Linked DNA regions of Macaca mulatta. The protein of the gene in region 1 purifies or fractionates together with the protein of each later gene. This does not show direct contact. Links are inferred from orthologs where the notes say so. Each region holds a gene or a part of one and is shown in the gene's direction. Other genes may lie near its edges. The genes, in order: DERL2, SERPINA1 and VCP.

Region 1 (4,415 bases):
TAAAAATTTACGTTTGTAATGGCTAAATATAGAGTGGTTATAACTGTTTGGCCGTATATGTAAGGTAGGATTTCTGTTTTTTTTTTTTTTTTTTTTTGTGAGACGTGTTCTGGCTCTGTCACCCAGGCCGGAGTGCAGTGGCACAATCACGGATCACTGCAGCCTCAACCTCCCGGGTCCAAGCAATCCTCCCACCTCAGCCTCCCAAGTAGCCAGAACTACAGGTGCAGGCCACCATGCCTGGCTAATTTTCTTGTTGTTGTTATTTTTGTTTTTGTTTTTTGAGACAAAGTCTCACTCTCTCGCCCAGGTTGGAGTGCAGTGGTATGATGTTGGCTCACTACAACCTCGGCCTCCTAAGTTCAAGTGATCCTCTTAGCTCAGCCTCCCACGTAGCTGGGATTACAGATGTGCGCCATCGCTAACAACAAAAAATACACTTCCTTGATTAACTCCTTCCTTTTAATTCCCATCAGGACCTCTCTTCGGGCACTGGCTGATAAACTTCTACCGCCTCATCTTCTCTGCTAGACTTAAAGAGTTCCTGAAGGCAGAATAAATGTGGCTTGATCAGTATTTGCCGATTCAACGCAGAGGTGCCCAGGCCATCTTAGTGAGTTAAGCGAAGACCCGGCGATCGCGCTGCACAGGACCCAGAAGCCAGAGCGCCGGAACTTCCGGCCGGCTCCCGGCATCCGTCGGGCCCCGAGCCCGCGCTGCATGCTGGGACCTTCAGGTTGGAGCCCGCTGTAAGGCCGACCCACGGGCCGCCGCGCTCCCTCGCGATGCCGCCTAAGCCAGTCTCGCCCGTCCCCGCTTCTCCTCAGAGAAAATGCTGCCCCGCAGTACTTACCGGAGCGACCATGAGGGTCACGAATTCGAGCACACACAGGCTTCCCGCCACCTCCTTTAAACCGCCGCTGGCTTGCCAGCGACAGACGGCGCGGTTGGCTCCCCAAAATTCCGACTGATACGCGCCTCGGCGAGCGAAAGTAAACGCGGGATACTCTCGCGTTCCTGATTGGCTGGTTGGGGACACGTCAATTATGACAGAAAGGGGCTGGGCGGGAAAGTTAGCTGTGGCCGGCGGGGATTGGCAGAAGGAACCTGTACTTGGGGGGCTGGGGGGGGGCGGTGGCCACGCAACTCGTGATTGGCGGATGTGCCTTCCTTAAGTCTCTACGGATTGGCGGCTGGCCGATTGCTTGGCGTTGATTGGGCAGCCGCGGGAACCCTAAAGCGGGCGCGGGGGAGGCCTTTGTCCCGCCCAGCCGCCTGGGCCTGCTGGCGGAAGGGGAAGTGAGGGGGGCAGGCGACGGTGGGGAAGATGGCGTACCAGAGCTTGCGGCTGGAGTACCTGCAGATCCCACCGGTCAGCCGCGCCTACACCACGGCCTGCGTCCTCACCACCGCCGCCGTGGTGAGCAGCTGCAGTGCCACCTTCTCATTATCTGGGCTGGATATGACTGGGTCTTCAGGAAACTGGGGTTTGGGCTTCGGGGAGGCCCAGAGGGGCTGGTCCCGGGGATGGTTGGAGACGTACAGGGATTACTCTGGGGTTCGAGTTGGCGCCGAGAATGCTTATCCAGTGACCTGAGAAGGGAGTGCTGCTTCATGGGGGGTCAGGTCAGTTTCTAAGAGATGAGGGCCGGACCTATACCGGGTTAGGGTTGCGGGAGCCTCCCACCCGAGAAATGTGTCCGAGAGCTCTGCCAATGGCCAGGTGGTACCGTGGTGACTAGTGAGAGGAAGGTCCGTTTTATGAAGAAACAGGAATGAGGAAAGCAAGGTGGAAACTGTCCAGAGGGGAGTGGCTTATAATAAAGAGGGTCTCTGGGTAACAAAGGGCTAGCTGGAGGTACCCAGCCCCAACGGTGGCAGGGTCTCGAGTCTCCGTTATTTCAAGTGAGTTTTGTTGTTTCACACGGCTGTTTCAGGTGGTGCCCATGTGGTGGGTAGATTCATAGCAGCTGTTTTTATTTGTCCTGTGTCTAAAATATCACCACCTGTCTGCCTCATTTCTTCATGTCAGCCTCAACTATTGCAACATAAACTTTTTTGTGTTAGGTATTGAGGATACAAAGAATTCTACCAATTCTAGAGAATTCTTTACCAACCTCTTCCTCTGGCCTAAGAAGAAAGGCTTAAAGAAAATCAGTAATTGACCGAGAGTTGGAAATTGCTAGACCTACTAATCCTTTGTTGTAAATGATGAAATTTTGTTTCTTGGTTGATTTGCTTTAAGAAGCTCTTTTTCTATTTCAGCAGTTGGAATTGATCACACCTTTTCAGTTGTACTTCAATCCTGAATTAATCTTTAAACACTTTCAAGTAAGTGGTTCATCACAATAGTGATTAATGCTTCAGTTTCTTCTTTTACTTACTGTTTAGTAGCAAATCCCGTTGTACACTATCCTAAAAAAGAACCCCATGGGGGACCTTTGATTATAAGTTGTCTTGTCAGGATGTAAAGCAGTGATTCTGCAGCCTGGTTGGACTTGAGAATCCCTTAGGGAACTTTGAAGAGATTCCCAAGCTCCTCAACAAGTACCAAATCAGAATTTGCAAGGGTAGGAATTAAAATCTGTGTTTCATTTTTAAAGTTCCCTGCATCGTTTTGATGTGTCCAGTTCCTGTATTCGGAAATCACTGGTTTAGACTTAATGTTGTAGTATGAGAGGAGAGTGACCAGCTAGCTGCTTAGGGGTTGTCTCTGCAGGGATGGCCTTATTTTGTCCATTCACCACCTAGGCACGCCCACCACCTTGGTGTTATCATGATGGTCCAGAAACTCAATTCTGTTAGTGCTTTTAAATTGTGATCTGTCTTCCAGTGATCAGATCATACTAACAAAATTCCAAACATCTAAAGCTATGTGGTGGTTTATTAGATTACAGTGGGAGATGGTCCTTTCCGGTGATTAAAATGTCAAAAGAGGCTGGGCGCAGTGGCTCACGCCTGTAATCCCAGCACTTTGGGAGGCTGAGGCAGGCAGATCACCTGAGGTCAGGAGTTCGAGACCAGCCTGGCCAACATGGTGAAGCCCTGTCTCTACTAAAAATACAAAAATTAGCCGGGCGTGATGACACATGCCTGTAATCCTAGCTACTGGGGAGGCTGAGGCAGGAGAATCACTTGAACCCGGGAGGCGGAGGTTGCAATGAGCCGAGATTATGCCAGCCTCTGAGACAAGAGCGAAACTCTGTCTCAAAATGCTAAAAGAAACATGGATTTTTCTGTTCCAAGATGATCTTACAGACCATAGTTGGAGTAGGGGAGAGACCCAAAAGCCAATAATTGTGCCTCTACACATGCTGTTCCCTCTGTCTCAAATGTGTTTCGTTCACTTTATACCCATTGAACTCTGGCTTGCCTTTCAAAACGCAGCTTTTGTGTAACCTTTATGTACTCATCCTCCTTTGTTTTAGAGCATCTCTCACCTTTACTTTGCAGTTATGTGTATGCTTGTCTCCTCACTAGGATGAGGACTCTAAAATCTGGGTAATTAATATGTAGAACTGAATTGTTTCAACTTTAATAGTTACCAATTCTCAAGAATTTAGTGATTTGTAAAGTAGTCTTGTCATCTCTTGTCACTGTGTTCCCACAATACTCACATGGAGCTGTAGTTCCATCCAAGTAAGTCTTGCTTCCTACTTGGCTTGCTTGGTTTTACTCTGCCTGGGGTTAAACTGTTAAACTCTTGATGACATTTGGAGTTAGGACTTTGAGATTTGCCATCAGTCTCCATCTACTCCTGCGGGTCCTTGGTCAGGACATTTAAAAGTTCAACTTTCAGCTGAGTAACTAGTGTTCAGCTAGTAGTTCAACTTTTAGCTGAATAACTAGTATCAGCTAGTTATTCAACTTTTAGTCTTTTAGTTTCCTATCTGTGAATTAACTTGCTTGTCTCACAGAATCACAACAGATAGTAGACATTTTAAAATGTTAAGCACTCTACCATTGTGAGTGGTTACTGTGGGTGTGGAGAGGTTGGGTAGGGAAGGGTGTATCAGGGTTTCCAACAAGAAAATGAGTGTTTGGCCGGGCGCGGTGGCTCACGCCTGTAATCCCAGCACTTTGGGAGGCTGAGGTGGGTGGATCATTTGAGGTCAGGAGTTTGAGACCAGCCTGGCCAACATGATGAAACCCTGCCTCTACTAAAAATAAAAATATTAGCCTGGTGTGGTGGTGCACACCTGTAATCTCAGCTACTTGGGAGGCTAAGGCAGGAGAATTGCTTGAACGTGGGAGGCAGTGAGCTGCGATTGTGCCACTGTACTCCAGCCTGGGCGACAGCGAGACTCTGTCTCAAAAAAAAAGGAAAAAGAAAATGAGTGTTCTTGTATCTCCCAAGTAGACTGTAATTATTAGACCATTAGTTCTTACAGGGAGTTGGCCATTTGTTCAGATTA
Region 2 (4,315 bases), on another chromosome or scaffold:
CTATTGTCTGAGCCCCAGCTATGAAACATGTATTCCTCACTGGACTATCACCTGAAGGCTTTGAATTTGCAACACCTGTCAACCCCTCCCTCAAAAGGGTTGCCCTCTCAGATCCTTTTGATGTAAGGTTTGGTGTCTAGACTTATTTCACTAAATTCTTCCAACAGCCTCACTTTATGTATGAGGCAAAATGAGGACCAGGGAGATAAATGACGTGTCCTGGCTCATACACCTGGAAAGTGACAGAGTCAGATTAGATCCCAGGTCTATCTGAAGCTAAAAGAGATGCTTTTTCACTTCCCACCACCCCCATCTCCTTTAAAGCAGCACAAAGCCTTGCTTCACAGGAGAGATGAGCTTCTCTAAAGTCCCTGACAGCAAGAGCCCAGAACTGGGACACCATTGGTGATCCAGATGGCAGGTGAGCTGACTGCAGGGACATCAGCCTATTCTTGTGGCTGGGACCACAGAGCATTGTGGGGACAGCCCCCTCTCTTAGGAAAAAACCCTAAGGGCTGAGGATCCTTGTGAGTGTTGGGGGCGAACAGCTCCCAGGGGATTTAATCACAGCCCCACCATGCTCTAGCTGGTGCCATTGTGCAAGATGCATTTCCCTTCTGTGCAGCAGTGTCCCTGGCCACTCAACAGTGGGATTAGATAGAAGCCCTCCAAGGGCTTCTAGCTTGACGTGATTCTTCATTCTGATCTGGCCCGATTCCTGGATAATCGTGGCCAGGCCCATTCCTCTTCTTATGCCTCATTTGCTTCTTTTGTAAAACAGTGGCTGTACCACTTGCATCTTAGGGTCATTGCAGATGTAAGTGGAGCTGTCCAGAGCCTGCGCGCAGGACCTAGATGTAGGATTCTGGTTCTGCTACTTTACTTCCTCAGTGACATTGAATAGGTGACCTAATCTCTCTGGCTTTGGTTTCTTCATCTGAAAAAGAAGGATAGTAGCATCAGCACCTCACAGGATTGTTACAAGAAAGCAATGAGTTAACACATGTGCGCACGTAGAACAGTGCTTGGCATATGGTAAGCACTACATACATTTTGCTATTCTTCTGATTCTTTCAGTGTTACTGATGTCAGCAAGTACTTGGCACAGGCTGGTTTAATAAGCCTTAGGCACTTCCACGTGGTGTCAATCCCGGGTCACTGGGAGTCATCATGTGCCCTGACTCAGGGCCTGGCCCCCGTCTCTGTCTTGCAGGACAATGCCATCTTCTGTCTCATGGGGCGTCCTCCTGCTGGCAGGCCTGTGCTGCCTGCTCCCCGGCTCTCTGGCTGAGGATCCCCAGGGAGATGCTGCCCAGAAGATGGATACATCCCACCATGATCAGGACCACCCAACCCTCAACAAGATCACCCCCAGCCTGGCTGAGTTCGGCTTCAGCCTATACCGCCAGCTGGCACACCAGTCCAACAGCACCAATATCTTCTTCTCCCCAGTGAGCATCGCTACAGCCTTTGCAATGCTCTCCCTGGGGACCAAGGCTGACACTCACAGTGAAATCCTGGAGGGCCTGAATTTCAACGTCACGGAGATTCCGGAGGCTCAGGTCCATGAAGGCTTCCAGGAACTCCTCCATACCCTCAACAAGCCAGACAGCCAGCTCCAGCTGACCACCGGCAACGGCCTGTTCCTCAACAAGAGCCTGAAGGTAGTGGATAAGTTTTTGGAGGATGTCAAAAAACTGTACCACTCAGAAGCCTTCTCTGTCAACTTTGAGGACACCGAAGAGGCCAAGAAACAGATCAACAATTACGTGGAGAAGGAAACTCAAGGGAAAATTGTGGATTTGGTCAAGGAGCTTGACAGAGACACAGTTTTTGCTCTGGTGAATTACATCTTCTTTAAAGGTAAGGTTGCAAAACCAGCCTGAGCTGTTTCCATAGAAACAACCAAAAATATTCTCAAACCATCATCTCTTGAACTCTCCTTGGCAATGCATTATGGGCTATAGAAATGCATGTCAGTGTGGGCTCTTCAATTTTCTACACACAAACACTAAAATGTTTTCCATCATTGAGTAATTTGAGGGAATAATAGATTAAATTGTCAAAACCGCTGACAGCTCTGCAGAACTTTCCAGAGCCTTTAATGTCCTTGTGTGTACTGTATATGTAGAATATATAATGCTTAGAACTATAGAACAAATTGTAATATACTGCATAAAGGGATAGTTTCATGGAACGTACTTTAGACGACTCTAGTGTCCCAGAATCAGTATCAATTTTGCAGTCTGAAAGACCTGGGTTCAAATCCTGCCTCTACCACTATTAGCTTTTGACACCGAACAATGCATTCTACCTCCTGGAGGTGCTAATTTCCCATCTTAGCATGGACAAAATACCATTCTTGCTGTCAGGTTTTTTTTAGGATTAAACAAGTGACAAACACCTTGGGAAAAGTGTGGCATACAGTAGATGGTGGGCTCTTCTGTATCTCAGGCTGCCTTCCTGCCCCTGAGGGGTGCTCTTGAGGCAAAGGAGGGCAGTGGAGAGCAGCCAGGCTGCAGTCAGCACAACTGGGGTCCTGGCTCTGCTGTGGCTTAGGGCAGGCCCCGGTCCCTCTCCAGCCCCAGTCTCCTCCTTCTGTCCAATGAGAAAGCTGGGATCGGGGTCCCTGAGGCCCCTGTCCACTCTGCATGCCTCGATGGTGAAGCTCTCTTGGCATGGCAGAGGGGAGGCTGCTCAGGCATCTGCATTTCCCCTGCCAATCCAGGGGATAAAGAAAACCCTCAGGAATAGTAAGCAGAATGTTTGCCCTGAATGAATAACTGAGCTGCCAATTAACAAGAGGCAGGGAGCCTTAGACAGGAGGTAACAAATATGCCTGATGCTCCAACATTTTATTTGTAGTATCCAAGACACCCTCAAATAAACATACGATTCCAATAAAATGCACAGTCAGGATGGCATCTCTTAGCCTTACATCTCTGCGATGTAGAAATTCTGCATCTTCCTCTAGTTTTGAATTATCTCCACACAGACCTTTTTGGCAGCCTGGATGGTTGGTTTCAGCACCTTTTGCAGATGATGAAGCTGAGGCTTGAGGGATGTGTGTCGTCAAGGGGGTTCAGGGCTTCTCAGGGAGGGGACTGATGGCTCCTTTATTCTGCCACACTCTTCCAAACCTTCACCCACCCCTACTGATGCCCGCCTTACCCTCTCTGTCCAGGCAAATGGGAGAGACCCTTTGACGTTGAGGCCACCAAGGAAGAGGACTTCCACGTGGACCAGGCGACCACCGTGAAGGTGCCCATGATGAGGCGTTTAGGCATGTTTAACATCTACCACTGTGAGAAGCTGTCCAGCTGGGTGCTGCTGATGAAATACCTGGGCAATGCCACCGCCATCTTCTTCCTGCCTGATGAGGGGAAACTGCAGCACCTGGAAAATGAACTCACCCATGATATCATCACCAAGTTCCTGGAAAATGAAAACAGCAGGTGATTCCCCAACCTGAGGGTGACCAAGAAGCTGCCCACACCTCTTAGCCACGTTGGGACTGAGGCCCGTCAGAACTGACCAGAGGGTTGGAGAGGGTGAACACTACATCCCTGGGTCACTGCTACTCTGCATAAACTTGGCTTCCAGAATGAGGCCACCACTGAGTTCAGGTGGCACCGGCCATGCTCCATGAGCAGGACAGTACCCAGGGGTGACGAGGTAAAGGTCTCGTCCTTGGGGACTTCCCACTCCAGCGTGGACACTGTCCCTTCCCAATATCCAGTGCCCAGGACAGGGACAGCAGCACCACCACACGTTCTGGCAGAACCAAAAGGGAACAGATGGGCTTCCTGGCAAAGGCAGTAGTGGAGTGTGGAGTTCAAGGGTAGACTGTCCCTGTGGGGATGGGGGAAGAGCCTGTGTGGCTAGGCCCAGAAAAGCAAGGTTCAAAATTGGAATAGCCAGGGCATGTTAGCAAAAGGCTTGAGTTTCTCTGTCACTTTATCGGTGCTGTTAGATTGGGTGCCCTGTAGTAAATGATACTCCAATATGAGTCACACATTAGTGTGTCTGTGTGCATTCGTAATTATGCCCATGCCCTCCTATCTAGTTTATTTTGTACACTGTAAAACCAAGATGAAAATACAAAAGGTGTTGGGTTCATAATAGGAATTGAGGCTGGAATTTCTTTGTTTCACGCCAGCACCTCCTGAGGTCCCTGCTCCAGGGGTTGAGAAAGAACAAGGAGGCTGAGAGGGTAACTGATCAGAGAGCCCAAAGCCAGGCTGCCCGCTCACACCAGACCCTGCTCGGGGCGGCTCTGTCTCCCCATGGAAAACAAGAGGGGAGCACTCAGCCT
Region 3 (3,861 bases), on another chromosome or scaffold:
ATTGCTCGAGCTGTAGCAAATGAGACTGGAGCCTTTTTCTTCTTGATAAATGGTAAGATACTTGGTTCATCTTATGTCTGGCTAGACCCAATTTGAACTGGGCTCATGAGCTGGAGCACTCATGGACACATCCTTTTTGCACCCATGCCCTCCTGCACCTTTATAGCATATTTCTTCTGCTTGGGTATGTTACAGACAGATGAGCAATAGAGGGAAGATATTTTACACTGGTGCTCCCTGTCCTGCCCCCCTTGAGAAAGATGGTGGACAGACTGAAGAGCAGGAGCAAACTAGAACGAGAAATCAAAGGGCGAATGCTTAGTGATTTGAGAGAGTTTGGGGAAAATGAACTTCGATCACTGGCTCTTGGAGAATGCTATTTAGTGGTGTGCCATCTCTCCTGCTCTGGCTAGAGCATTTGTTGTCACATTTATACTTCTAGTTCAACTGTGAGACGAGTATACTGAGTCCCTGGGCTTCTCTCCAGCCTTGCCTGGTGGCTGTCCTGGGATAATGGCTGGTAGAGGATCTGAGAAGTAGGCGTAGGTTACCACCTTCTCACCCAGGACCTGTCTCTGGGCCAAACAAGCAAGATAACTGATTTTTGGGGGCAATTGGGAAAGACTGTCATTTTGTTATTGCCTCCATTCTGTATCCTTTCAGGTCCTGAGATCATGAGCAAATTGGCTGGTGAGTCTGAGAGCAACCTTCGTAAAGCCTTCGAGGAGGCTGAGAAGAATGCTCCTGCCATCATCTTCATTGATGAGCTGGATGCCATCGCTCCCAAAAGAGAGAAAGTAGGAGCTTACCTGAGGGGATAGTGGGGGGTTGAAAGGCCCTGACTTCACTTCTGACCAGACATCCTGTTCTGGCAGACTCATGGTGAGGTGGAGCGGCGCATCGTATCACAGTTGTTGACCCTCATGGATGGCCTAAAGCAGAGAGCACATGTGATTGTCATGGCAGCAACCAACAGACCCAACAGCATTGACCCAGCTCTACGGCGATTTGGTAAGGACTCCAGATACTTTTGACCATGTCCTTGCTTAGGTCCTACCTCTCTCCTTCATCTAAGTCACCTAATCCTCTTGAAGCCCTTCACAGTGATTGGATCTGGGTTTCTTTTTCCTTTATCCTACGTCCTGTCTAGAGTGACCATCTACCCTGGTTTTCCTGAGACTGAAAGGTTTCCCAGGGTTGAGACTTTTTCATTGCTAACATTAGGACAATCCTGTGCTAGCTGAGATGGTTGGTCACCCTAGGCCTGTCTCTTACCTCTGGACTAGAAACGAGCCCTGTCTATGTTCATGCACTGTCCCACAGGTCGCTTTGACAGGGAGGTAGATATTGGAATTCCTGATGCTACGGGACGCTTAGAGATTCTTCAGATCCATACCAAGAACATGAAGCTGGCAGATGATGTGGACCTGGAACAGGTGAAGTGATGATGAGGGCTGACCAGGCGTTACAATATCTTTAGGCAGTTGCTGGGAACTGGCTAGAGACATAAGGTTTTGATGTGAGGAGATGGGTTTTTATTTCTGGACAGGGGAAAGGAGGTAATCTGAGATTAAATCCAGGAAATTGGAGTTGGCATTTTTCTCACTTGACGCTGCATTTAGAGTAAATCAGAATTGTTGGAGCAGCTTTATTTCTAGGTCCTGAGTCCAGGATTAAGTACTTAAAACCCAGCCCATAAAGGTTTTGCTAGTATATGTATTCAAGGAAATTAGAGGACGCAGGGATAGCAGTCAGGGGAAGCATTCTATTATCTCTGAGCCTCCTGCGGCAGCTGGGTCTTTGAGGCAGCACAGTAAATAGATCTTTCTCTGCAGGTAGCCAATGAGACTCACGGGCATGTGGGTGCTGACTTAGCAGCCCTGTGCTCAGAGGCTGCTCTGCAAGCCATCCGCAAGAAGATGGATCTCATTGACCTAGAGGATGAGACCATTGATGCCGAGGTCATGAACTCCTTAGCAGTTACTATGGATGACTTCCGGGTAAGGACCACACCCCTGCCTCAGGTACACACATATGTGCTTTGACCCCTCCCCTGGTAAGTCTCATCCCCAGTTTTCCCTCCTTTTCTAGTGGGCCTTGAGCCAGAGTAACCCATCAGCACTGCGGGAAACCGTGGTAGAGGTGCCACAGGTAACCTGGGAAGACATCGGGGGCCTAGAGGATGTCAAACGTGAGCTTCAGGAGCTGGTCCAGGTAGGGTAACTTGGTCCAGGGTGAGTCACTGCCTCAGTACATTGTAATTGACCTTGGTGATCTTAGGGTGTCAACACGTTTGCTGCAAGAGATGTGAGAGCACGACTTAGGAACCTATTTTTCTTAGATTTGAGGCACTAAGGAGTCTGCTTCTAGAGAACCTGGATCTGATACCATTGGGTACACCATGAAGTAATGGAGGGCATGCTTCTGTTTAGTTAGGTTTCTTTCACAAGGTGGAGGTAACCTTGAACCCTCTTTCCTTTTCCTCCTAGTATCCTGTGGAACACCCAGACAAATTCCTGAAGTTTGGCATGACACCCTCCAAGGGAGTTCTGTTCTATGGACCTCCTGGCTGTGGGAAAACTTTGTTGGCCAAAGCCATTGCTAATGAATGCCAGGCCAACTTCATCTCCATCAAAGGTCCTGAGCTGCTCACCATGTGGTTTGGGGAGTCTGAGGCCAATGTCAGAGAAATCTTTGACAAGGTGAGCTACAATAGGCTGAGCTATCTATTGATTTGCCTGGGGACAAGGAATAGAGGCTGTTTTTCTTTAAGACGGTTGAAACATTCTTATTACTGGCTGCTCAACTGGACAGCAAGTCACTTGATTTTCTGAGGTGTGAGAGAGCTGTTTTTTTTTTTTTTTTTTCTTAAATTGAGACAGGGTCTGGCTCTGTTGCCCAGGCTGGAGGGCAGTGGTATAGTCATAGTTCACAGTAACCTTGAAACCTGGGCTTAAGCCATTCTACTGCAGACTCCTGAGTAGCTGGGACTACAGGCATGCGTCACCACATCTGGCTAATTTTTTATTTTTTGTAGAGATGAAGTCTCAGTATGTTGCCCATGCTGGTTTTGGATTTCTGGCCTCAAGTGATCCTCCCACCTTGGCCTTCCAAAGTGCTGGGAATACAGGTGTGAGCCACCACGTTTGGCCGAGAGATCTAGTTTTGTTAATGCTTGAATCAATCCATTCCTCCTACAGGCCCGCCAAGCTGCTCCATGTGTGCTGTTCTTTGATGAGCTGGATTCAATTGCCAAGGCTCGTGGAGGTAACATTGGAGATGGTGGTGGGGCTGCTGACCGAGTCATCAACCAGATCCTGACAGAAATGGATGGCATGTCCACAAAAAAAAATGTGTTCATCATTGGCGCTACCAACCGGCCTGACATCATTGATCCTGCCATCCTCAGACCTGGCCGTCTTGATCAGCTCATCTACATCCCACTTCCTGATGAGAAGTCACGTGTTGCCATCCTCAAGGCTAACCTGCGCAAGTCCCCAGTTGCCAAGGCAGGTGCAGGATCATGGGCTGTGGGAGACTTGTATGAGTCCTCAGTCTGGTATAGAGTGCTCTTTGGGTTCTGGACAAGATTGCTTTGGGGTTAGGGTTGGTCTAAAGGGAAGGTAGAATTTTTGAGGGTATTAAGATAATCTAGAATCAGGAATAAAATGGGGTGGCCAAAGAAGGGGCAAACTAGTTGGGAGTGCTTGGATGGCCCAAAGATCTGTGTATCTCAAGAGAGAAGAGGCTAAATGCTAAGGTAGCTCTGCTGCTTCTTTTAGGATGTGGACTTGGAGTTCCTGGCTAAAATGACTAATGGCTTCTCTGGAGCTGACCTTACAGAGATTTGCCAGCGTGCTT

What was found.
Region 2: the proteins of DERL2 (region 1) and SERPINA1 purify together in Homo sapiens (affinity purification with western blotting; 3 studies listed by BioGRID). This does not show direct contact. The link is inferred for Macaca mulatta from reciprocal best matches to the Homo sapiens genes DERL2 and SERPINA1.
Region 3: the proteins of DERL2 (region 1) and VCP purify together in Homo sapiens (affinity purification with western blotting; 4 studies listed by BioGRID and IntAct, with this or other methods). This does not show direct contact. The link is inferred for Macaca mulatta from reciprocal best matches to the Homo sapiens genes DERL2 and VCP.

Annotation. Positions count from the first base shown.
Region 1 is NC_133421.1:6,988,819-6,993,233, reverse strand, and holds the start of DERL2 (derlin-2), read left to right. Parts: upstream 1-1,283; 5' UTR 1,284-1,327; coding exon 1,328-1,420; intron 1,421-2,265; coding exon 2,266-2,331; intron 2,332-4,415.
Region 2 is NC_133412.1:167,658,272-167,662,586, reverse strand, and holds part of SERPINA1 (alpha-1-antitrypsin), read left to right. Parts: intron 1-325; exon of another isoform or gene 326-421; intron 422-1,210; exon of another isoform or gene 1,211-1,213; 5' UTR 1,214-1,217; coding exon 1,218-1,863; intron 1,864-3,184; coding exon 3,185-3,455; intron 3,456-4,315.
Region 3 is NC_133420.1:64,665,590-64,669,450, forward strand, and holds part of VCP (transitional endoplasmic reticulum ATPase), read left to right. Parts: coding exon 1-52; coding exon of another isoform or gene 53-75; intron 76-623; coding exon of another isoform or gene 624-663; coding exon 664-797; intron 798-875; coding exon 876-1,011; intron 1,012-1,323; coding exon 1,324-1,436; intron 1,437-1,835; coding exon 1,836-2,000; intron 2,001-2,091; coding exon 2,092-2,214; intron 2,215-2,489; coding exon 2,490-2,702; intron 2,703-3,200; coding exon 3,201-3,509; exon of another isoform or gene 3,510-3,566; intron 3,567-3,697; exon of another isoform or gene 3,698-3,782; coding exon 3,783-3,861. UniProt on the Homo sapiens protein: Necessary for the fragmentation of Golgi stacks during mitosis and for their reassembly after mitosis. Involved in the formation of the transitional endoplasmic reticulum (tER).